Linked DNA regions of Oryzias latipes. The protein of the gene in region 2 purifies or fractionates together with the protein of the main gene of each other region. This does not show direct contact. Links are inferred from orthologs where the notes say so. Each region holds a gene or a part of one and is shown on either strand. Other genes may lie near its edges.

Region 1 (11,197 bases), on a different chromosome or scaffold from region 2:
GTCAAGTCGCTCAGTGATGCGTCTTGAATCCATCCGCTACTTCCTCAAAGCGTCTGCCATGAAACCCCAAGCTAGCAAAGCTAACAGAGAGGAAACGGAGGGAGACTTTCAAAATAAAAGAAAGCTGCATCAAACAGGGAAAAAGCAAGAGTCTTTCCTCCAGACCATAATAATAATGTAGAATATTCCTGAACCAGCTGTCTAGTGTTACGAGGAAGCTGCTAATAAAGTTATTCAAACAGTGGATTCAGGTTTTTTGATTACATCCTGGTGTTGCGCAACAGGCAGTGGTCCGTGTTCCCCGCTTCACCTGCCAGTCAGAGCCCACACCACCCCTCCCCTCCCCTTCTCACACACGCGTGTGACACAGACAGCAGCAGCTGCAGGGACGGACGGGGATTCACAGTTTCAGGCTGTTACCAACTCTGATAGAGCAGAAAAATGGGAACCAATAGAGGAGCAGATTGTTTTCCAAGCACTGAGCCGCTGTCACCACCGTCCCCACGTTAAATTTGTGCACCGGACAATTGCCCGTATTGCCTGCATGAGACCGCAATCCCCGCCCCGGCATCGCTTTGCGCCCCCCAGCCCCACTATTTCCTATTTCAGAAGAACTGGGTTAAGGGAAAGTGACCGCTTCCTACATGAAAAGTGAGAAACCAAAGTTTAAAGCAGCTGCAGATCTTTCCAGAGGATGAAGATCATTGTTTTAGAAGTTAAAGGAAATCTAAAGGCTTTTCAGCAGAGCTCTGGTCTGTGGCCTGAAGCTGTGACCGCTTCGAGTAGAACTCAGTAAATCTGCAGATTCAGCTCCGTGTGTTGCATGCTGGGAAAAGCCAGAGGTACCTGTTGGAGTCCAGCTTGGGCTGTGGTCTCTTTGCACTCTTCCTCTTGGCGGCGGGGACGTCGGCCAGCCCGGACACCTCCCCCTCCTCGCCTGCATCAGAAGAACCGCATGAGCGCAGCCGCTTTCACCTTTGGAGACGTGCTTTACGGGGAGAACGCCGACCGTCTGCTGACAGGCCACGCCCCTCCTGTTGACCTGGGGAGGGAGGCGGAGGGAGGGGAGGGAAAGCCTCGTCCTCCAGCTGCTCATACAGGGGGATGTCGCCCTGGCTGTCCTCCTTTGGACCTCGCATGATGTCAGAGTCCTGCCAGCGAGAAGCAAAAACAGGAACATGAACGGCGTCTGCTGGCATTGCTGCAGAGGCGGCTGCAGAGGCGGCTGCAGAGGCGGCTGCAGAGGCGTCCCGTCCAACTGTAGGAATGGATGTCACTTCCTGTCAACAAAGGGTGAACAGTGGTGCTGCTGCAGTCTGAGTGACACAAAGAGCAGAGATAGAATCAGGTGTGGATTCAGGAGCACCGTCAGCAATGGCCCCCCATGGAAGAGAAATGTCACCAAATCTGAGAAAGGAAATCATTTCTCTGCACAAAGAGGTGGGGGCTACAAGAAGATCAGCAAAGCTTTACATCTCAGTCAAAACCCTAAAGCAAAAGTGATCCAGAAGTTCAAGAAAGATGGAAGTGGAACCATGACGTCCACAGAAGCTAACATCTGGACAGGAGCGTCTTCTGATGAGAAGGTTGAAGGAAACCACCATGCAGGTTCACTGCAGTTAGCTAAAGCTGTAGAACGCCAAACTGGAGGGACTTTTTCCCGTGACGCCACCCGGCGCACGCTGCAGAGGAACGGCGTGCGTGGTTATCGTCCATGAAGGAGACCTCTCCTGAAGACCGTGCATGAAAAAGCACGCCTACCATCTGCTAGGGTCCATGCTGATGAAGATGAAGACTACTGGGACTCAATACTCTGGAGTGATGAGACGAAGATCCCCGTTTGTGGAACCAATGACCAGGATGTCGGTCAGGCCGTCAATACACCCTGGAGACGATCGCGTTGATAGAAAAAGTAGAAACGCCGCTAAGAAGTTCATCACAGTTCTGGTGGACAGTCGCTGGCAGATCCAAGCGACGTTGGTCTGAACCCGCGATTTTGGATGCGACTGATGACCGACCGCCTCGCCCTTTGAAGCGGACCAGAGCCAGCTTCTTCCTGGGAACAGTTTGTTCTGTCCTTCACTTGTTCTTCTGTTTCTCTTCAAGCCGCTCATAACTTTTATGTCACCAACAATGGGTCACACCAGGATCCAATGCTGGAGGAGCATCATGAGGTTTCTACTACACCCTCTCAGGTGGAGGAACAGGTAGTGAGGAGGGCCTTTAAATCAGGCAACAAAGAGGAGCTGAGGGCTGTACAGAAGGAGCTGAGACGCGACATCAGAGAGGGAAAGACGAGCTACAAGAGGATGATGGAGGAGAAGCTGCAGCAGAACAACGTCAGCGGGGTGTGGCGAGGCCTGAGGACCATCACTGGATACAATGAGCCCAGCACTCAGGCTGAGGGGGACCAGACGTGGGTCAACGACCTGGATCTGTTTTTCATTAGATTCAATAGACCACCCCCACCCTGTCTCCCCCACTGCTGCATTCAATGACCCCTATTCTGCTTCATCCCGACGCCCCTGACGACTCAGCCCGCAGCCCCTCCCCTCACTAAGCCCCACACTGCCACTCACAAAAGCCCAGGTGAGAAAGCAGCTCAGCAGAACAAAGGCGTCAGGCCCAGATGGCATCGGCCAGGCTCCTCAGGACGTGTGCAGATGAACTGTGCAGCGTTATGCTGCACATGCTCAGTCTGAGCCTGAAGCTGGGGAAGACATCCTGCGTGGTCCCGGTTCCAAGGACATCCCTATGGAAGCGATTCTGTAGCATTAATAAAAAGCAAAGTCAAAACCAGAAATGCTTTTTCATTTTCAAAATGAAGCTGCATTTTTTGACTCAAAAATAAAATGAAAAAGTAATCCACCAAAATGCTTTTTCTTTTCCTTCCTCAACACAGCTTATTCTGTCACTTGATTAAAATGAAAATGGTATTTGACATTTCATTTTCAAGACGTTCTCTGGTAAATGTGTAGCAAAATTCATTTAGAAATGTCTAATTTGATGTCTAAAATGGATTAATAGAAATGCTTTTTAATTTTCAAAATGAAGCTGCATCAAATGACTCAAAATTCAAATATAAAAGCAATATTTCAAAATGCTTTTTCATTTTATACTTCAAACCGCCTATTCTGTGTCATAATTAAAACGAAAATGCAAAGAGGGGATTGCATTTGCATTTTCACATCCACCCTGGGAAACTTGTAGCAATATTCATTTCTCAAAAGCATTAGCAGAGGGGAGGCGGGGCGATGACGTCACTGCTTTCTCTGTGTGTCCGACCGCTGACACACACACACACGCACCAGGAGCAGACTGTGTTAGCGGCAGAGAAAACGGCTTTGTGTTGGTTGTGAACTTCTGATGAGTTTCCACAGCTTCTCAGGACTAAGTAGCAGCATGTCCACCTTCTGCGGTCCTCCTCCTGACTCACCGCGGACAAGCTTTGTTCTTCGGACCGCCAGCTGCCTTCGCACAGCGGAGCGCGAAGCTCCGACGATCGCTGAAGGCGGAAATGCTGCTGCGATCTGAGAAACCATCATATGAATTTGTGTTTCCAGTGGTGTCCAGAACAAAATAAAGACTGATGTAATTCCCACATATTTACACATTTATCTGCAGCTTCGCGCTGAATTTTCTGTTTGATGACAGCTGGAGCTCCATCAACAGACAGCAGATTTCTCTGTGCTAAACGTTGCTGGGTGGACCAAAAACACTCACTCAGGGCGAAGCTGCAGCCAGGAGACTATCTTGATAATGTGCTTTTATTACTGTCATGATTATTATTAAGGGCCTGCTCTGCTCGATCATATGTTTTTAAATCCGTGCGGTCAGACGACGCTGAAGAAGTTGGGTTGCGATTCACAGCTTCTGATTGGCGAGGGAGATAAAGGAACATTCTGCTGCATTTCTCGCATTAAGATCCAGGAATCCAGGTTTGAGCAGTCCAGGTCCAGCGGTTTGTGAACAGGACCCGGTTTTAGGTGATCTCAATGCGAACACAGACACACCAGGTCTCTCAGCGACAGCGGCCGTACACACGGAGAAAGCAGTGACGTCATCGCCCCGCCCCCCCTCTGCTAATGCTTTTGAGAAATGAATATTGTGACAAGGTGCGCGGGGTGGATGTGAAAATGCAAATGCAATCCCCTCTTTGCATTTTCGTTTTAATTATGACACAGAATAAGGGATTTTAAGTATAAAATGAAAAAGCATTTTGAAATATTGCTTTTTCATTTGAATTTTGAGTCATTTGATGCAGCTTCATTTTGAAAATTAAAAAGCATTTCTATTAATCCATTTTAGACATCAAATTAGACATTTCTAAATGAATTTTGCTACACATTTACCAGAGAACGTCTTGAAAATGAAATGTCAAATACCATTTTCATTTTAATCAAGTGACAGAATAAGCTGTGTTGAGGAAGGAAAAGAAAAAGCATTTTGGTGGATTACTTTTTCATTTTATTTTTGAGTCAAAAAATGCAGCTTCATTTTGAAAATGAAAAAGCATTTCTGGTTTTGACTTTGCTTTTTATTAATGCTACAGAATCGCTTCCATACATCTCGGCCGACTGACTTCAAGGACTACAGACCGGTGGCGCTGACCTCTCATCTGATGAAGACGATGGAGAGGCTGGTGCTCACACATCTTCGTGTCATGGTCAGCCAGTTGGCCTACCAGCCCGGTACCGGAGTTGAGGATGCTGTCATCTTCCTCCTGGACAGAGCTCTGTCACACCTGGACCAGACTGGGAGCTCTGTGAGAGTCATGTTCTTCGACTTCTCCAGCGCTTTCAACACCATTCAACCGCTGCTGCTGAGGGACAAGTTGGTGCACATGGGCGTGGACCAGTATCTGTCTGCATGGATGCTGGACTTCCTCTCAAACCGACTGCAGTACGTGAGGTCCCCCCACTGTGAGTCTGACATGATCGTCTGTAACACAGGAGCACCGCAGGGAACAGTTCTGCCTCCGTTCCTGTTCACCGTCTACACCGCAGACTTCATGTCCAGCTCAGCATCTGGTCACCTGCAGAAGTTCTCGGATGACTCTGCCGTTGTCGGACTAATCATGGATGACGATGACAGAGAGTAGAGAACTGATTCAGAGCTTTGAGGACTGGTGCCAGCGGAACTACCTCCAGATTAATGCAGGGAAAACCAAGGAGCTGGTGGTGGACTTTCGCAGGCTCACTCTACATTAGCACCGGTGAACATCCAAGGAAGGGACATAGAGAGAGTGGATTCATACAAGTACTTGGGTGTTCACCTCAACAATAAACTGGACTGGTCACACAATACAGAAGCACTGTACAAAAAAGGACAGAGCAGGCTTTATCTGCTGAGGAGACTGAGGTCTCTTGGAGTGCAGGGATCCCTCCTAAAGACTTTTTACGACCCTGTGGTGGCATCAGCCATCTTTTATGGAGCGGTCAGCTGATGCAGCGGCATCTCAGCAGCGGACAGGAAGCGGCTGGAGAAGCTGGTGAAGAAGGCCAGCTCTGTTCTGGGGCTGCCTTTGGCCTCATTACAGGAGGTGGGAGAGATGGAGAACGACGCCCACCCCATGTATGAGTCAGTGTCCTCTCTGTGCAGCTCCTTCAGCGTCAGACTGAAACATCCTGAGTGTCTGACGGAGCGACACCGCAGGTCGTTTCTACCTGCTGCTGTTAGACTTTACAACCTTAGCTGCTCCCAGTGAACCACGTTAACCAACATCATCCGCTCTGTCATATTGATTTTACCCTGTACAATAACTGATTATATGGTCATCCTGTGCCTTTTTTGGAAATGTATGTGTGTATTTTGTGTATATATGTGTGTATAATGACTCCATAGTTTTGTTTCTTTTATATATTGCTCTCTGTTCCTGTACTGCTGCTGCAACACGGAAATGTCCCCATCGTGGGACTAATAAAGGAATATCTTATCTTAAATGTTGGAGGTGTGGTAATAATGGAGCCAAACACTTCCATATATTTTAGGACTGTGTGGTTGTCAAGAAATCCTGGTCTGACATTCATGAACATGTGCTGAATGTATTTTCTATTGTCTTCCCCTTTGAAAGTCTATTTTTGGGTGAGATAGAACCATATGACCGACAACAAAAGTAAGAAACTGCTCTATGTTCTCCTGGAAAACCATGACCAGAAAACGGCTTAAACCTGAGCGACAGACTGGCTGGACGTTGTACAAAGGATTTATACAATGGAGAGAATTTCTCACTCATTGCCAACACAACTGGAGGTTTTTCCACTGCTTGGTCTAAATGGACAGATTATGTAAAGCCTGTAAGATCAGACTTAATGTGGAGTGTCACTGAAACGGTGTCATACATTTATGATTTGAAAATCCCTGAGAAAGCAAGAATGTTGGAGTCCATCACTGCAATGTAGCATTCATCATGTGCTTTTCAATAAAAATACACGTGAAAAAGAAAAAAGCATCCAGAAATGACCGACACTGGAAGAAGAAGCAAAACCCAGAATACACTTAAATACACTTTTTGGTAAAAATATTCCGACGCAATGCATTGTGGTCTATATTCACTGATCTAGTGAACAGCAGTGCACACTGGTTTTTCACAGAGACTTCTGGGAAATATCTAGGGCTCTAGATTTTGGAATTGTAGATTCAGACAGAACTAGAAAATGACAAACGCACTATGTAGTGCACTATGTAGGGGTTAGGGTGGGAATTCAGACACACCCCAGCTCCCCAAAGATGAGTGTTTCTGAATGACAACCTCTACTGTGACGATAAATCCTTCAGTGGACGCGTTTAACTCCGCCCACGTGGACTCACGCCTCCGTCTGCATGAGTCCGAATACGCTGGTGTTTATTCTGTCGTCTGCCTACAGGGGGCAGCACCGTACAGCGCTTGGTAGTAACCACAGAAGAAGAACCATAACAACAGAAGAAGAAGGGGGGCGGCAAAGTCCAAACCAAATAAAAACAAACCTGAAAACGGCGACAAGCGGCGAAACGACGTTACCATAGACCGGCCGAGGAAACGAGACGGAAACTGTGGAAACTGCGACCTGCATCTCAGGAAATGACGTTGGTGTGATTTTTAAAAACGACGCGTTTAGAAAAACAGACGCGCGTTGATGCAAATGAAACACCGACAAGCGCACAAACATCGAAAACTACAAAGTATTCACAAAAATAGCAATTACAGGGCAAAAAAACAAACCTGAGTGCCGGAGCGCGCGCCAACACACGACGAACGCCACAGGAGAAACCCCTTCCGGTGCCCAAATGCGGCACGCCTTCAAAATAAAGTTGCACTGAAGCGCTTTAAATAAAATTTCAAATTAAAGTCCAGACAGAAGGAATTTAGATACACAGATAGGCAGACAACGTTTTTAAGAGCAAGCACTTCACACCAAAAATGAATGTAGCTTTTATTTTTCAGTATTTTAAGCAGCAGATATGATGGAGTTTGAACCTTGAACAGGCCTCACACATCTCAGGTTTTATATATACAGAAAAGGACAAACAGGTTTTTTAAGCTTATTTACAGTCCACTTTAAAGGAACTTTTTTTTAGAACTTGTGCTTAGATTTCTTTGAGGTTTACTTCAAACCAGGGGCCTGTTTCAGAAAGGAGGTTCAACCAACTCTGAGGTTAAACTTGAACTCTGAGTTGGTCAATCGAGAGATTAACAACTCTGAGTTTTCTGTTTCAGAGAAGCTGATCCGAGTTAGGTCAATCAACTCTGAGTGGACTGATTCGGAGGTGAGCGTGCGCACCGCGACTATAAGAAGCCATTATCAATGGAGCGCAGATATCACGAGTCACCATGGCAACCGTGAAAAAAGAGGTCTGCGTATTTTTCTCCAGCTGAACTTGACGTGCTGCTGCAGAGTTACAGTGAATATGAGCACATATTCCGGAAGAAAAGCAACACCGCTGCATCTGCAAAACAGAGACAGTTAGCGTGGAAAACATAGCTGCTCAAGTTAATGCCTAAGTTTGCATTTAAATCATTGTTATAAAATATTGACTGTAATAAATAACTTTTTAAATAGCGTAAGGAGTGAAATAAAAAATGGTGATATTTAGGTTTACTTTTGAAGTGTTATTCCTGGTGTAAATGCATGAAATGCTGCACAGTGTACAGAACCAATCTGGGGGAAAATGCATTTAACGTCGGTAATGTTTAAAGGACTTTTCTGTTAACCTTCCCCTCTTGCAAACGTTGGTCAGTTTAATATTAATACATGCAATTGTGTTTTTAAAAGTGAACTTTTGTCTACCCTTGTATTGATCAAGTGGTATAAGTTTATATGGGATTAAGAAAGTAAGCAGTGCTAGCAAATTGTGTTTCCTAAAAGTAATTGTTACATTAATCTAATTCAATGTCCCTGATTTCATTTTCATGTAGATGCAATCCTGCAGGAATTAAAAGAACATGGCAGCAGCTAAAAATGAAGTATAAAAACATAATTCAATCAGGTCAAATGTGAGCATGTCATGGATGTAGGCTTTGTTGACAATATTTGACATGTGAAACATCTACATAGCAATACATATCTAATGTTGTTTTCATTGTATATATGTAATTGACTGCAACGAAAAACGGTAACGCTCAAACAAAAACGTATGGAGCAATGACAAAAAATCCAGTCTAGGTCTCAAAATCCTCGCACGACGTAAATGTAATTCTCTAGGAATTAATGCAGCCTCCTCGTCTATTGGGTCCTCCAAAAAAGGACAAGCCATTCTTGTCACTTAGACCGTCTCTGTGTGACGGAAATTTGGGCAATGAAGGTTAAAGCAAAAAATACCGCTTCGTCTTTAAAAAGGGGAGGGGACCGGCAGAAACTTTGAGTTTGGAGAATAAAACCTGCTCCCGACCAGGTTAGGTTCACAGCGTAAGTAACCATGGACACTGACTCCGAGTATAAGTTACCTCTCTTTCAGAAACGGGTTTGACTTACTCTGCTTTCTCTGGTTTAACAAACCTCCCATTCTGAAACGGAAAACCCAGGGTTTCCCTGATTTCAGGGTTAACATACTCAGAGTTTACACTTAACCTCCTTTCTGAAACAGGCCCCAGATGGACCTCTTGGAAAAACAAACCTTTAGTTATCCACTGAGCTTCATTGATGCTTTGAAACAGGTTCTGACTGGATTTATTGATGATTGGAAACCAGCCTTGACTCCAGTTGAAGCCTTAGAAGGCTGTCGGGCTGATGCAGATTTGATGGTATGAGTTTCTCAGAGGCGTCTCCTCAGCAGGAACATGAAGAAAATGGCGCTGAGCAGGACGCAGAGCGTGCACACGGTGGGAACCACGATCTCGCTCACCATCTCCTTGTGGCCCCGCAGTGGATCTGTGGGATCACAGCAGATCACAGGAGCACAACTTTGAGGAAGCAGAAATCCACAGCCAGATACTGCAGCTGCTGTCGCACAAACCACCAACAAACACCCACAAAATCAGTCACATCTTCACAAATGCTGTCATTTTTCACCAAATATAGCCCCAAGCATTGCAGAGTCCAGATTTCCTGCATTTTTGTCACCATTTTAGTTCATATTTACAAAAATAAAAGATCTTAAAGCAGGCTTGCCCTGTTTTCTTATTATCATCGTCTTATAATGACGATTATTATAATACTGTCATTGTTTTCGTCTGTTCATCAAACAGTCTTTATTTTTCCTCCTCTTAAAAACATAAACCATCATAAACCACTTAGATATGAGTCCGCTGGTTGGATCAGAAATGATCTGGTCCTTGTTTACCTGTCTTCTTGATGCTTCAACAGTTTCCAACTAAAGCAGTAAACTAAAGTTTCTTAGCCAAATGTTTGTCTTTAGAATGATCAGATCTGCTTTTGTTTTGAACATTTAAAAAAAAGCTAAGTATTAATGCAGGTATGTTTCAGCATTTGGTTTTCCAACAGAAAAGAAAAGAAACATTTCATAAAGTTGTGTTTGCTTTCAGTTGCTGAACCAGACCAAGGCCTGACAGTGGACCAAGCCACACCTCCATTAAACTACCAATCTCACGGCAAAAATACTATTTGTCTTGGATATGAATTCACATCCCAGAGGACAGAGGACTGGACCACAGTAAGAGTCATTTCTATGGAGAAGATGGGCCGTTTGACACTGGAGTGAGTGGAGCTTCACCTGTTTTTGTCAGCAGCTACCTAGCGGTTGTCTTGTGAACTGATGAGGATCAAGGAACCATTAACCCTTGTGCTATCTTAGATGGCCCCCCCTTCCATTGACGTGTTCTCCCTACCATGACAAAGGTGGTTAAAGGTGGAAAGATTTCATGTAATCCATGGACACCAGTGAAGATCACAAATCATTGAAGAAAAAAGGTTCAGAGCACTGTCTAGTGGGTCTAGATGACCCCACTCCCAATGTTAAAGTGCCTGGGATAGAACAAGGGTTATGCCAGCCCCTCTCTAAAGAAAGACAGCTGCCAGCATTACAATGCTGTCATGAGAACTAATCCTTTACTTCTGCAGTAATGAAGTAAAGATCCTCTTCTTGTGCTGTAAGAAACGGTTCTACATTCTGGTAAAAAACCACTATCCGCTGTTCTCCTTCTGTGCTTAGACCTCATGATGCACTACCCAAACCTGCATGTTCTTGATCTCCCCACGGGGAAGAAGCTGGTTTAAAAAGCAAAATGTTCTGCAGCATCAGATTGACCTGCAGCCAGGAGCTGGTTACTGGAGAAGCAGGCTTCCTCAGCTTTCCTCTTCCAACTCTCCATCTGCAAAGACCCAGCCGTCCCACAGGTGAGCAGCCAGCCGAGGTCATCGTGTTCACGAGGAGCATGTTGGTTTCCGCTCACCTCTCTCTGATTGGGAAAACCATTGGAGCTGATGATCCGTTTGTAGAACTGGACAGAGGCCTTCGGGTACCGTGGTTTATTCTTACTGCTGAAGTCCACAAAGAACAGGCCGAACCGTTGGCTGTATCCTTCATCCCACTCAAAGCTGTCCAGGAGAGACCAGGCTGTGTAGGCCTTCACGTTCACACCGTCTCTAACTGCTGAAGGTCCAAGCACAGACACAGTCTGACTCCGTCTGTGCCAGAGAAACAGCCTCAAACACAAACGTCGGATCACCTTTGAGCATCTCATTGATGTAGTCTTTGTAGTACTGCATCCTCCAGGCGTCACACAGGTCTGTGCAGTACTTTTTCTCCGGGACGCCGTTTT
Region 2 (11,107 bases):
TTACTCGCTAATGCAAGAAGCAACAGAAAAAGTATTTTTTTACAGATTTTTTTTCTTGTTGTGGTTGTTTAAAAAACAGCAAACCAAAATGTTTTATTAAAAAAATCTGTCTAATTGATTTTAATCAAGACACTGACGTTGCGAGGTTTTTAAAGCGATCGGTGTGTCTTTCACATTTATGAAACAGTGCCTTTTACCTCTAGATATATGCAGCTTTTTTTTAAACCTTTTTCTTTCATGTTTAACCCAACATTCCTCTTGATTTTGCCTTGTTCTTTTTAAACTACACCTACACTGAGGGCTGCACGGTGGCACAGGGTTTACCTGGGTACCTTGATTCATAGGGTGATTGTGTAACATGGTGACCCAAGTGTAACCCACCTGTAGCTGGGACAGGATCTTGCAACACCATGACCCCAAAAGGGATACAGCAGATTATAGGCCTAACACTCACTAATAGACATAGAAAATGTTTCTTCATTGTCATATTTGTTAAAGACTTTAAAAAATGTGTGAATAGTCACATGCAGTTTTTCCATTTTTGTACTGTTGTTTCTGTATACTTGCGGTTTGTCAGAAATATTATCCAAGCCTTGAAACTCTTGTCATATTTGGACATATTACAGATTACGAAAGAATTCCAGACTCCCAGAGCAAAAGAACCGTGGTGATAAAGACTGTGGAGACTAGAGATGGAGAGGTACAAAGAATTGGACAAACTTGAAAAGAACAAACCAAAACCATCACAATTTGTTCTCAGAGACTAAACTTTTTCCTGCTTGCTTCATCAGGTGGTGAAAGAATCCAAAAGGGAGAAGCAGAGTGACGTGGGGAAGACTGACAAGGATGAGTAGAGTTGTTTGATAATCTGAAGGCCTGTGCCATCATGAAAAAAAAAATGGAGAAACATTTTCCCTCTATCTAGTTCTCATTCCTATTATGCGTTTGTGTAGCAGTGTGTCTTAGAATAGGTGCAATTTTGAATCAATAGGAAATAGTGTCCCTTTGGTGCTATGTAAGCCACTTTTTGGTAAATCTGTGTGGGCTGTGCAAAACTACTTTACTGATGTACCACTTGAGGCCTTTATCTAGAGTGCAATCCTGTGGAATCCTCACACGACTAGATATTTTTAGCTAGAAGCCGTAACGGATTTTAGTTATTATACCTGTGGGTGACTAACAAACTGTCCGACAATGCCCTTTGGCCAACACATCTTCAAATACAGAACAAAATTAGCTTGACATGTCTACTTATGTTTTTAGCAGCTTTACTATTCTTTTCTTGTGCAAATCACTGTAACATCACGGGCAGATTACAGAACAACGCAGAACATTCTGAAAGTATGACTAATTCTATGTGCAGAATAGGCTTTGGAGCGATGAGTGCATCCGACACAATTGTTTGTAAAGATGTACATGCAAATAAAATGAGTTGGAGACAATATTTGTCTGTATGAATGTTTCTGTTATTTGCCGAGGTTATAATTATAGATCTGTCAAACCAAGCCTTCTTATAGACCAGTGTTTCACAATCACTGTGCCGATGGCACATAGTGTGCCTTAAGGAGATGGTCAGGTGTGCCATGGGAAATTACTCATTTTTTTACTGATCCAAAAACATTTATCATCACCAGAATATTAGCTCTATATTCATCAAAAAAAAAGGCTCAGGTTTCATACTGAGTAACTACTCAGTTGCCGACAGCTTTGTGGAGCTCTTCAAAATATAGACATCTTCTGTGTCTTTCATAAGGAGGGCCAGACTGTAGCTCCGCCCACACACAGCGGCTTTTGGACAAACGTCCAGCAGTGGCTTTGATTTGGGTTAAAACAGAAGCGGAGGACGCGTTCGGTGTGAACGGACAAATGATGGGCGCGGAGGGAGGAAAGTGAAGGGTGGGGGGCAATCCACGCCACGTGTCTGTGCGGAACCAGGGCTATTGATCCATGAGTCACGGATCATCCAGGCACCCCTAGTAGCTTCCTGCGGGATCAGAATGAATGTAAAAAGCGAATAAAATAATGAAGATCAGAGACGTGACGTGAACTCCCATGATGCATTGGGTTAATGTGAGAGCGTCTCGTACTGCGCTGCTGTTAACTGTCATGAAGCACAACAAGTGTCTGTTCTAACAGTTTGAAAAGCGTCTTGATGAAAGCAGAGATAAATAGTTTAGTTCTCCTTCAAGGTTTTTGTTGAAAAACAAAGGATTTGAATTCCGAGATTTCAATGGTTTGTCATAAAGTCATTGTCATAAAACAAAAAATGCTTTCTAAACTACAAATTCAATTTTAGACTTCAAACACTTTAGAAATTTTTGAAGTTACGTTTAAATATAAGTAATAGCCAAATCAAAGAAACAGCATAAAGGTTCAGTGGCCAACAAACACATTTAAAATAAAGTGAAACAATGTAATCACCCAAAGTATAATGTTGAAGTTACATGTTTGATTTAAACAAAAGAAAAACAAATAAAACTTCAGCTTGTACATTTTTTCTGTGTAGTTAAAATTAAATTTAAAAACATGAATGAAATGTTGGTCTCTTTTGTCTTAAATTTATATAGCATGCTGTGATTTATGTATTTGTTCGAAAATTGCTCTTGCACTAAACGTAAAAAAAATATTTTAAAAAAAATTACAGTTTTAAAATAATTGTGGGGTACACAACAACACGTTTCGATAAACTGGAGGGAAAAACAACAACCTGTGCAAATTCTCAACTAATGAAGTTGAAAATTATTATTGAAAACTATAACAACTTATAGGAAAAAGACCCACTAGACAGTGCACTGAACCTTTTTTCTTCAATGATTGGTGATCTTCACTGGTGTCCATGGATTACATGAAATCTTTCCACCTTTATCCACCTTTGTCATGGTAGGGAGAACACGTCAATGTAAAGGTGGGGTCATCTAAGATAGCACAAGGGTTAAGCTCTATTTATTTATCACTTTAAAACTCATTTAGAGTATTTAAGGGCTGTACAACACAAAATAACAATAAAAAGTTTAAAAAAAAAAAACTGGATTCGTATCATTGGATCAGATCTGTTTTGTCTATAAGCAATTGCAGGAAAACACTGGCTCTCTCGGCCTGGAGTATTTCAAGATAAATGCTATTACATTGATAAATGTTCATTAAAATAAAATGTATTTTTGTGAAACAAAAATGTGTCAAAACACGTTTTTAAACGTATTTGAAGTTATGGTATATATGGAAATCAACATATATGTTTTCATCATATTTTTCTGTTTTCCTCAAAAATAAATGTAACACATTTATTGAATATTTTGTGGGTGTTTTACTGGAAGGCAAATGTTTGCAGGTTAAAATATATCGTGAATAAGGAGCATTTTATAAAGGAATAATATATGTCTCATTTTTATGTGGAATGACTTCTCTTTATAGGTAGCAAATCTCCTACCATACCACTGTAATTTAAAATGTTTTTAATTTATTTCAAAAATTTCTTCTTTTTTTGCCCTGTTTTGAAACTTGCAGGAATTATTAAGCTACGACTTTGCAAAAACCAAAATCCAGCACTCCTACGCCATTTAAGTCTTTAAAGGTCACTAAAAATATTCCTAAATTAGTCCCACAAAGAGACATACCGGATGCTTTGTTATAACAAATTTTTTTTCAATCTTTCCCCTTCTAAAATGAAACCTTAAATACCAAACTCAGGGAAAACTATTACAGGAAATGACGACGATCTACATCCGCTTTCTCGTTTCTCGCTCAGTGTTTTGGCGCGTGTTGTGATGTTCATTTTTTTGATTGTTTACAGTAAGTAAAATGTATAAAAGGCTGTGAAAACGTCAAACTCTGGTGTTTGGATAATGGCTAAACGACATACAAAAGTTTATTTGAATTATTTTCTGTTCATAGTTTTTTGGTCGGTGTTTTAATTCCGCTGTCAATTCTGCTTAAGCTTAGTTAAAGCTAACTCTTACTTAAGATAAATGTTTCTACTTTATTAAACTTTTAAAGTTTTTCAGACTTTTAAAGTTTAAAATCGTAATCAAAACATGCGTCTACATATACAGTTGTTTCTTTATGAAGAATTTTAACGTTTTCGTTTGAAAACTGATAAACTGTTGTTGGATATTGAAGAACTTGACAGATATGGTGTTGTTTGTAGAGTTTTAAATGCAAGATAACACGTAATATTTAATATAAATGTATAAAATCAATGTGACCTTTTTTTGTTTTTTAGGTTGGTTTTCATAAACAATTAAACACGAGGTTCTGTGTGTTGCAGCAGCTGGTTGAAGGTCATCAGATCTGATCAAGATGAATTGTGAAATTTTGGCTACCTGTAGTGCGCTTGGTTACCTGGAAGGAGACAATTATCACAAGGAAACCGATTGTTTGGGTGAGTGCTGATCACGATTACGTAGTTTCTCCTCTTTATAAACAAAGGATTTTTATTTTTATTTTTTTGGTTTTGTCAGCCATTTTTAAACACATTTCATATGTTTGTGTGCAGAGAGTGTCAAAGATCTGATCCGGTATTTGCGACATGAAGACGACTCCCGTGACGTCCGGCGGCAGTTGGGGGCTAGCCAGATACTTCAGAATGACCTCCTCCCTCTTATTGTTCAGTTTAGACAAGACAAAACCTTATTTGATGCATGCATCAGGTACAAACCTTAATGAAATACAGGTGTAGCGATTCATTTTAATACCAATTCGATTCATATCACATTTTGTGATTGACGAAATGATTCATAGTCGATAATGGTTCATTCTGTATGATCCGATTGACTGACCTAAAAAGTGTGACTCGAGATAAATACCTGGGTACTGAACACTGCAGATGCAATTTTCCAGATTCTATTTCTTGCAGGATAATCAAGCAAAAATGAACCCTAGAAAACGTTTGCCATTAAAAGTTACACCGCCACTTTTGCCGAGTAATTGTTACCTGATATAATATACCAAACAAAAAGTACTTGCCATTAAAAATAGATAAAAAAATAACAAATCATAGGTTAGAGTGGTGTTCTTTTATGTTCAACTGTGTATATGTAACAAAATGAAAACATTGAAATTCATGTAAATAGTTTTGCTCGGGTGAAAATCCCCCCGCAATGGTGCTCTAGGGTTCAGTATGTGTACAAACAAGTAATAAATAAACAAGAATTAATGGCAAATTCATTAATGTTTTAGTTTCATAAAGTTCAGCCCACTGTTGTTTTCCACATCAGAATAATATGAACTAAACAATATTATAACATTCTACCACCCTGTATGGCCTATTTGCACACATTAGACTGTAATGACGATTTATCGCATTTCAGGCAGATACTCGCAGCAGTGTTTTTCAGGTAAATACCCTAGGGCGGTTCAGTTAATTAACTCACCTGCTCAGCATCCTATTTAAGCCCAGGTGCGCAGTTGTTCATTCTTTCTTACCTTCAGCGCTCATTCTTCGCCCCACCCTCCTCCCCGGCTTCCATCTGTGGGCTCCGTAAAGGGGGTTTTGTTACCCGAAAGTTTTATGGAAATTTTATGGAATTTTATGGAAGTTTTATGGAATTGAACGGAGCCTTATGCCAAACGAAAATATGTGAATGCCAACTTAAAGAATGTGGAAAAATGTCAAATAAATATTTCTTACTGCAAGAGTTGTCTGACTGAAATGAGGGTTTGGTCATTTTCTGCTGTCATCACGTGTCGTCCACTTGTTTCTAGTGCATCACCTAGAGTTTCTCAATCCAAATGTAATTTTATGTTAATAACTTTCCCGCTGACAGACTGATCTGGTTGGATTGTAAGAAAAATTGATTTAGCGATTGATTAATTGTTACATCCCTATCATAAACACACGTCTTGTGGCACTTTAAAAAAAATGAAGAAAATATTAGTTTTTTTATATTCTTTTGCTGAAATCAAAAACAGTTTTAAAGAATATTTATTTTAATTAGTTATACTGGTAATTTAATTTGTTGTTGCAGGAAATGTTTGTTAAAATTCTTTTTTGCACATTTCAGGCTCATGGTCAACCTGACTCAGCCGGCTGTGTTGTGTTTTGGAAAAGTTCCAGATGATCCAGTTTTCACTCATCACTTCATGGAAGTGACTTCGCATTTACAAGCTTATAAAGAGGTTTGGCTATACTGTTGATGGAATAGTCCCCCCAAAGCTGCTGTTAGAAGTTGGATTGTATCATTTAGACTTCACTTTAAGCTAATAATTATCATTTTTGTCGTTTTTCCTTTTCAGGCATTTGCCAGCGAAAGAGTGTTTGGGATTTTAAGTGAGACGTTGTACAACTTTCTGCAGCTTGTAAGTGTTTCATTTGTAATAGATGAATTTTTAACCCCTTCATTTACTTTCTGTTGCACCGATAAAATAACTGATAACTGCCGTGAAGCAAGTCAAAGTTTTATTAACACAGGATCATTGTCTGCAGTACAATACCATCCGGATGACACCACAGCAAACGTGCAGAAAAGAAAATCACAATTGATGCAAATAAATAAAAATTATAAAAAAAATTCAAACAGCCAAGAAAACTGTGATGCACAGCACATTCGGTCAGATACAGCACTTATAAAAATAATGTCCAGTATAAATTGGGGGAAGTGACTTTAACAAAGAAATGACAAACAGAATAGAAAAGATGTAGTCCGCTCCTGCACTTAGTCAATCATGCCGAATGAGCCCCGTGAGGAGCGGACAAACAAAACACAAAACCAAAAGAACTAGAACATTACAGCAGGGCACAGTATTCCAACACTAAAAACAGAAGGGGCACCAGATTAAAAATATTTGATAAAATTGTTTAAATTGTTAATTGTTTAAAGTGTAAAATACCTGACCCCAGTCTGTAAAATCCCCGATAAAACAGGATCTACCTCTGCCGTGATCCTGTCTTAAAATAAAATAAAACATCAAGCACTGCTTGAAAACATCATCCACAGGTAAGGATAAAAGCAGTCCTACCACACTCTCCGCTCGAGCCAACTAACGCTAACGCTGCTCCCTGAGCTAACCGGCTTTCTCACATGAAGCTGGCACCATGGCAACCACACATCAACTTCCTTTTTATACCCTCTGTACAATGGGTATAGAGACACCCTCAGGTGTCTCCCATTGCATTTCATTGCTACGTTTTTTGTTACGTTTTGTTTCTTTGACGTGTTTATTTATTGTTTAACTGCTGCTACTTCTTTCACCAGGACTGGGAGCAGAGACAGGAGGAAGATAACCTTCTGATTGAGAGGATTTTGCTTTTAGTCAGGAATATACTTCATGTACCTGCAGACCCGTGTGAAGAGAAGGTTTGTTATGTAGCAAAACAAGGTTCCACTAACTTCTATGATGTTTCATTTAACCAGATTCTTTTAACCTTTACCTTCTGCTTCCTCTCTCTGCAGAAGGTGGATGATGATGCCAGCATTCATGACAAGGTGCTGTGGGCCATTCACATGAGCGGATTTGATGACCTGGTCAAGTTCCTGGCGTCGGCCCAGAGCGAGCAGCAGTGGAGCATGCACGTGTTGGAGATAATATCCCTCATGTTCAGAGATCAGGTTTGGCAGATGAGTCTTCTAGCTGTAAGTTCCGTCTTTCTCCATTTCAATGTTTTTCTTTATTTCCCAGACGGCGGAGCTCCTGGTAAGCGCCGGCCATTCCCGTTCAGCAGAAGAGAAGCAGAGAGATCTTCAGGAACTGGAGGCGCTGCGGCAGAAGGAGAACGCAGAGAAACGTTCGAGGACGTTACAGAGAGGAACCAGGTAAAGGCATGGTCCAACGTGAGGACCAAATAAACCCTCAATCGTTTAATAAAGGCACTTTTAATAGAGACGTCTGTTAGTTAGAAGCAAAAAGTGAGCATGAGTCAAACTTTGGGGTAATAATCATTTTTATTGCAGTCACTCTGCAGTCTAAAATTGAGCATGTTGTTAATTATATGATTCTTTATTATTTCAGAAAAGATTATGTTGCTTTCTCATAACAGAGTATTAGGGCCACCATAAAAAGGAAAATAAATTTTACAAACATAAAGTAGATTTATGAGGAAAAAGTTGTAACTTGACAAAAATAAAATCGTAATATTATGACAAAGTAAGTCAAACATTTATGTGGATAAAGTCATAATATTATGAGGAAAATGTCCAATTTTACAAGAATAAACGTATGAGTAAAAGTCAATATTTTATGAGGATAAAGTTATAATTTGATCAATTTTAAACTGATTTTCTATGAGGGCAAAAGTCTGTTTTCTAAGAAAAATAGAAACATCAAAAAGTTTCACAAATAGTGAGTCAGCATTGTTTTATTATAAGTATAAGGAGAAAATAATTAGCAGGAAACGTCTCCTCAGAGGACAACTCTTGACCCAAGTTTGCCCAATTTTTGCCCCGCAGACGGCCTGTATCCGCCCACAAGGGCAGTTGGGACTAAGGCTTCACGGGGTTTCCTCTGTTCCATTTAATTCATTTCATAAATAACTTTGCATTATTTTTTGTGTCTTCCAGACACTCGCGCTTCGGTGGCTGCTTTGTTGTCCAGGGCCTCAAGGCGATCGGGGACAAAGATGTTATTTACCACAGAAGGCTTCACAAAGTGGGTGATCCCCTCTGAGCTGCAAATTTTCCTTTAGGATCACTAACGTTTGACAGGCTTGTGTTGGCTTTTCATTCTGCAGTTTAAAAGTTACACTCATGACGAAGGCAAAGCAGTGAGGCGTGTTCCCAAGAGAAATCAGAGAGCCTCTGAGTGTAAGGAGCAACGCCGTTCCGCCTTAAACGTTCGGCTCTTCCTGCGTGAGTTTTGTGTGGATTTCTTGGAGAACTGCTACAATCGGCTCATGTATCTCGTCAAGGTCGGTCTCGAGAATCCTTTCCAGAGCTCTGCGCTGGGCGCATCATGCAGATTTAGAATTTTCTTCATTCCCTCCGCAGGAGAACCTGATCCGAGAACAGAGCCAGCAGCACGATGAGACCTATTACCTGTGGGCGCTCAGCTTCTTCATGGCTTTCAACCGCGGCAACAACTTCCGCGCTGACTTGGTTTCTGAGACCATGTCCATCCGCGCTTTTCATTTCATTGAACGCAACATCACCAACTACTATGAGATGCTGCTAACGGACCGCAAGGAGGCCACTTCCTGGTCTCGCAGGTGAGAATGCCAGAAAAAAGCTTACTTTAAAATAAAAGATGTCATATTTTTCCCAGTTTTGTGACTTTTCTCTCCTTAGGATGCATTTGGCATTAAAGGCATATCAAGAACTTCTGCTGACTGTCAACGAGATGGACCGCTCACATGACGAAGGCATCCGGCAGAGTTCCAATGTTCTAAAAAGTTAGTTTCTAATATTAATGAGCACACTCCAAAATGTGACCTAAAAACAGAGAATTAACACCAATCTTAAAAAGGAAAATAGCTCAGAAAAAGTAAAACTATTCATCCATGCAGTGAGAAATTGTTATTAAACAAAAAAATCTTATAAGACATCAAAATCTAAAAAAACAAGGAGTTCCATACAAGCATTCAAAGAGGGACAAATGGGCTAAAAAAGCTGTTAGATAAAATTATTTAAAAATGTAATGTTGTGCAGCCCAAAAATAAGTCTTTTTTGATTGTACTAAGCGAATGGTTTGTATTTTTTACATTTTTATGGACCTATTTAAAGGTTCATTTTGATTACAGTGACAAAAAAAACTAGTGTAATTAGTGGAAATGACTCATTTTAGAACAAAAATGTGAACAAAATAAGTATGCAATGTTAGTACAAGTTGGTCCATCTTCATAAATCCTCATAAATCTAAAACTGGAACTTTATTCTTAGATCATAAACCTACATTTTTATTTACTGAATAGTTACAGTCTAACTTGTCAACTTTTATAAAACCTTAAAAAAAATATTACAAATTGAAGCCAAAATCACAGCGCTTATTATTACCTTTAAAATATACATAGAACACTTGAAATGTACATAAAATGGCATGCAGCCTTTCTTAAAATTAGTATTTTTTGGGGGTCTTAAATTAAGTTTTGTTAGGCGTATGGGGCAAAAATAATTTTTACTGATGTTAATAATAATTTCCCTATTTCTAGATCTTGAGACAAAAAAATTCTCAATTAGGCTGATTTTGAGAAAGCTTGGAAAGATTTAGAGCAAAGAGAAGTTCAAACAAGTTCAAACCTGGTAAAATTTTTTGGATGTCTAATAACAAGGTTTGAAATATTCACACAGATTAAATAGTTTGCAGTGCATAAGTTTAAAATAACATTTTTTAAGAAATGTTTCAAGAAATTCAATATTAGATTTAAATAAAAAAGTAAATACATTCTGTCATTCTTCTTCCAGGTAACATTTTCTACATGATGGAGTTCAGGGAGATCTTCCTGACCTTGCTGAGAAAATACGATGAAACTAAGCAGCCTGGGACGTACCTCAAAGACCTGGTAGAGACCACACATCTCTTTCTGCGCATGTTGGAGCGATTCTGCAAAGGACGGAAAAACTTGGTTGTGCAGGTCAGTTGTTGTGCGATTTTGTATGTGAATTATCTGCCAAAATTGGTTTTACAATTATTCTCCTTAAATCACTTCTGTCTCGTTGTTATAACTTAACAGAGGAAGCGAGTGAAGCGGAAGAAGTCTCACAATAGAAAGAAGCAGTCGGTTGCAGAAACGAGTCCAGAAGCTCTTGCTGAGACCTGGAAGATTGTGGAGGAAGAGCTGAGGGCTTCGGGGTTTCAGGTTTGTATGAAAAAAAGAATAAAAACGGCCTCCAGGGGGAGCAAAAGGGAAATATTAGTTGGCTGATGAAGCTTTCACAGTGGAAAAACAAACATTTGAAGTGGCTCTTTGTGACTTCTGCCTGCAGCTGTCAGAGTCCCTCACTGGAAGCATCATACCTTTCGACGCCACGTCTAAAATTCCCCTCGAGGAGCAGCGAATCGAGGCCATGGTCCGTGTGCAAGATGCCCTTCTGGCTCACACGGGACCAGAAGCTCTGGCGCTGCTGCGAGCTGCCAGGTCAGCAAGTCTGCAGGGTTGTCCACACTAATATATCACACATGTCAAAAGATAAAAAGAAGTTAAAATATCCATTACAACATGTTTTTCTAAGTGAAGATATCT

Evidence for each region. The genes of interacting proteins can lie anywhere in the genome.
Region 1: the proteins of timeless (region 2) and tipin purify together in Homo sapiens (affinity purification with western blotting; 6 studies listed by BioGRID and IntAct, counting the BioPlex papers as one, with this or other methods). This does not show direct contact. The link is inferred for Oryzias latipes from reciprocal best matches to the Homo sapiens genes TIMELESS and TIPIN.

Annotation. Positions count from the first base shown.
Region 1 is NC_019861.2:604,643-615,839, forward strand, and holds the start of tipin (TIMELESS-interacting protein), read right to left. Parts: upstream 7,308-11,197; 5' UTR 7,202-7,307; intron 7,098-7,201; exon of another isoform or gene 6,967-7,097; intron 1,152-6,966; 5' UTR 1,140-1,151; coding exon 1,010-1,139; intron 938-1,009; coding exon 847-937; intron 1-846. Other genes in the region: lactase-like protein, read right to left, coding at 9,232-9,347, 10,684-10,747, 10,829-11,028, 11,105-11,197.
Region 2 is NC_019863.2:27,119,385-27,130,491, forward strand, and holds the start of timeless (protein timeless homolog), read left to right. Parts: upstream 1-3,693; 5' UTR 3,694-3,789; intron 3,790-4,264; 5' UTR 4,265-4,296; coding exon 4,297-4,378; intron 4,379-4,492; coding exon 4,493-4,646; intron 4,647-5,999; coding exon 6,000-6,114; intron 6,115-6,231; coding exon 6,232-6,294; intron 6,295-7,190; coding exon 7,191-7,292; intron 7,293-7,388; coding exon 7,389-7,544; intron 7,545-7,614; coding exon 7,615-7,748; intron 7,749-8,492; coding exon 8,493-8,580; intron 8,581-8,662; coding exon 8,663-8,839; intron 8,840-8,918; coding exon 8,919-9,136; intron 9,137-9,215; coding exon 9,216-9,319; intron 9,320-10,328; coding exon 10,329-10,498; intron 10,499-10,597; coding exon 10,598-10,723; intron 10,724-10,850; coding exon 10,851-11,002; intron 11,003-11,107. Other genes in the region: prph (peripherin), read left to right, coding at 627-700, 792-854. UniProt on the Homo sapiens protein: Plays an important role in the control of DNA replication, maintenance of replication fork stability, maintenance of genome stability throughout normal DNA replication, DNA repair and in the regulation of the circadian clock.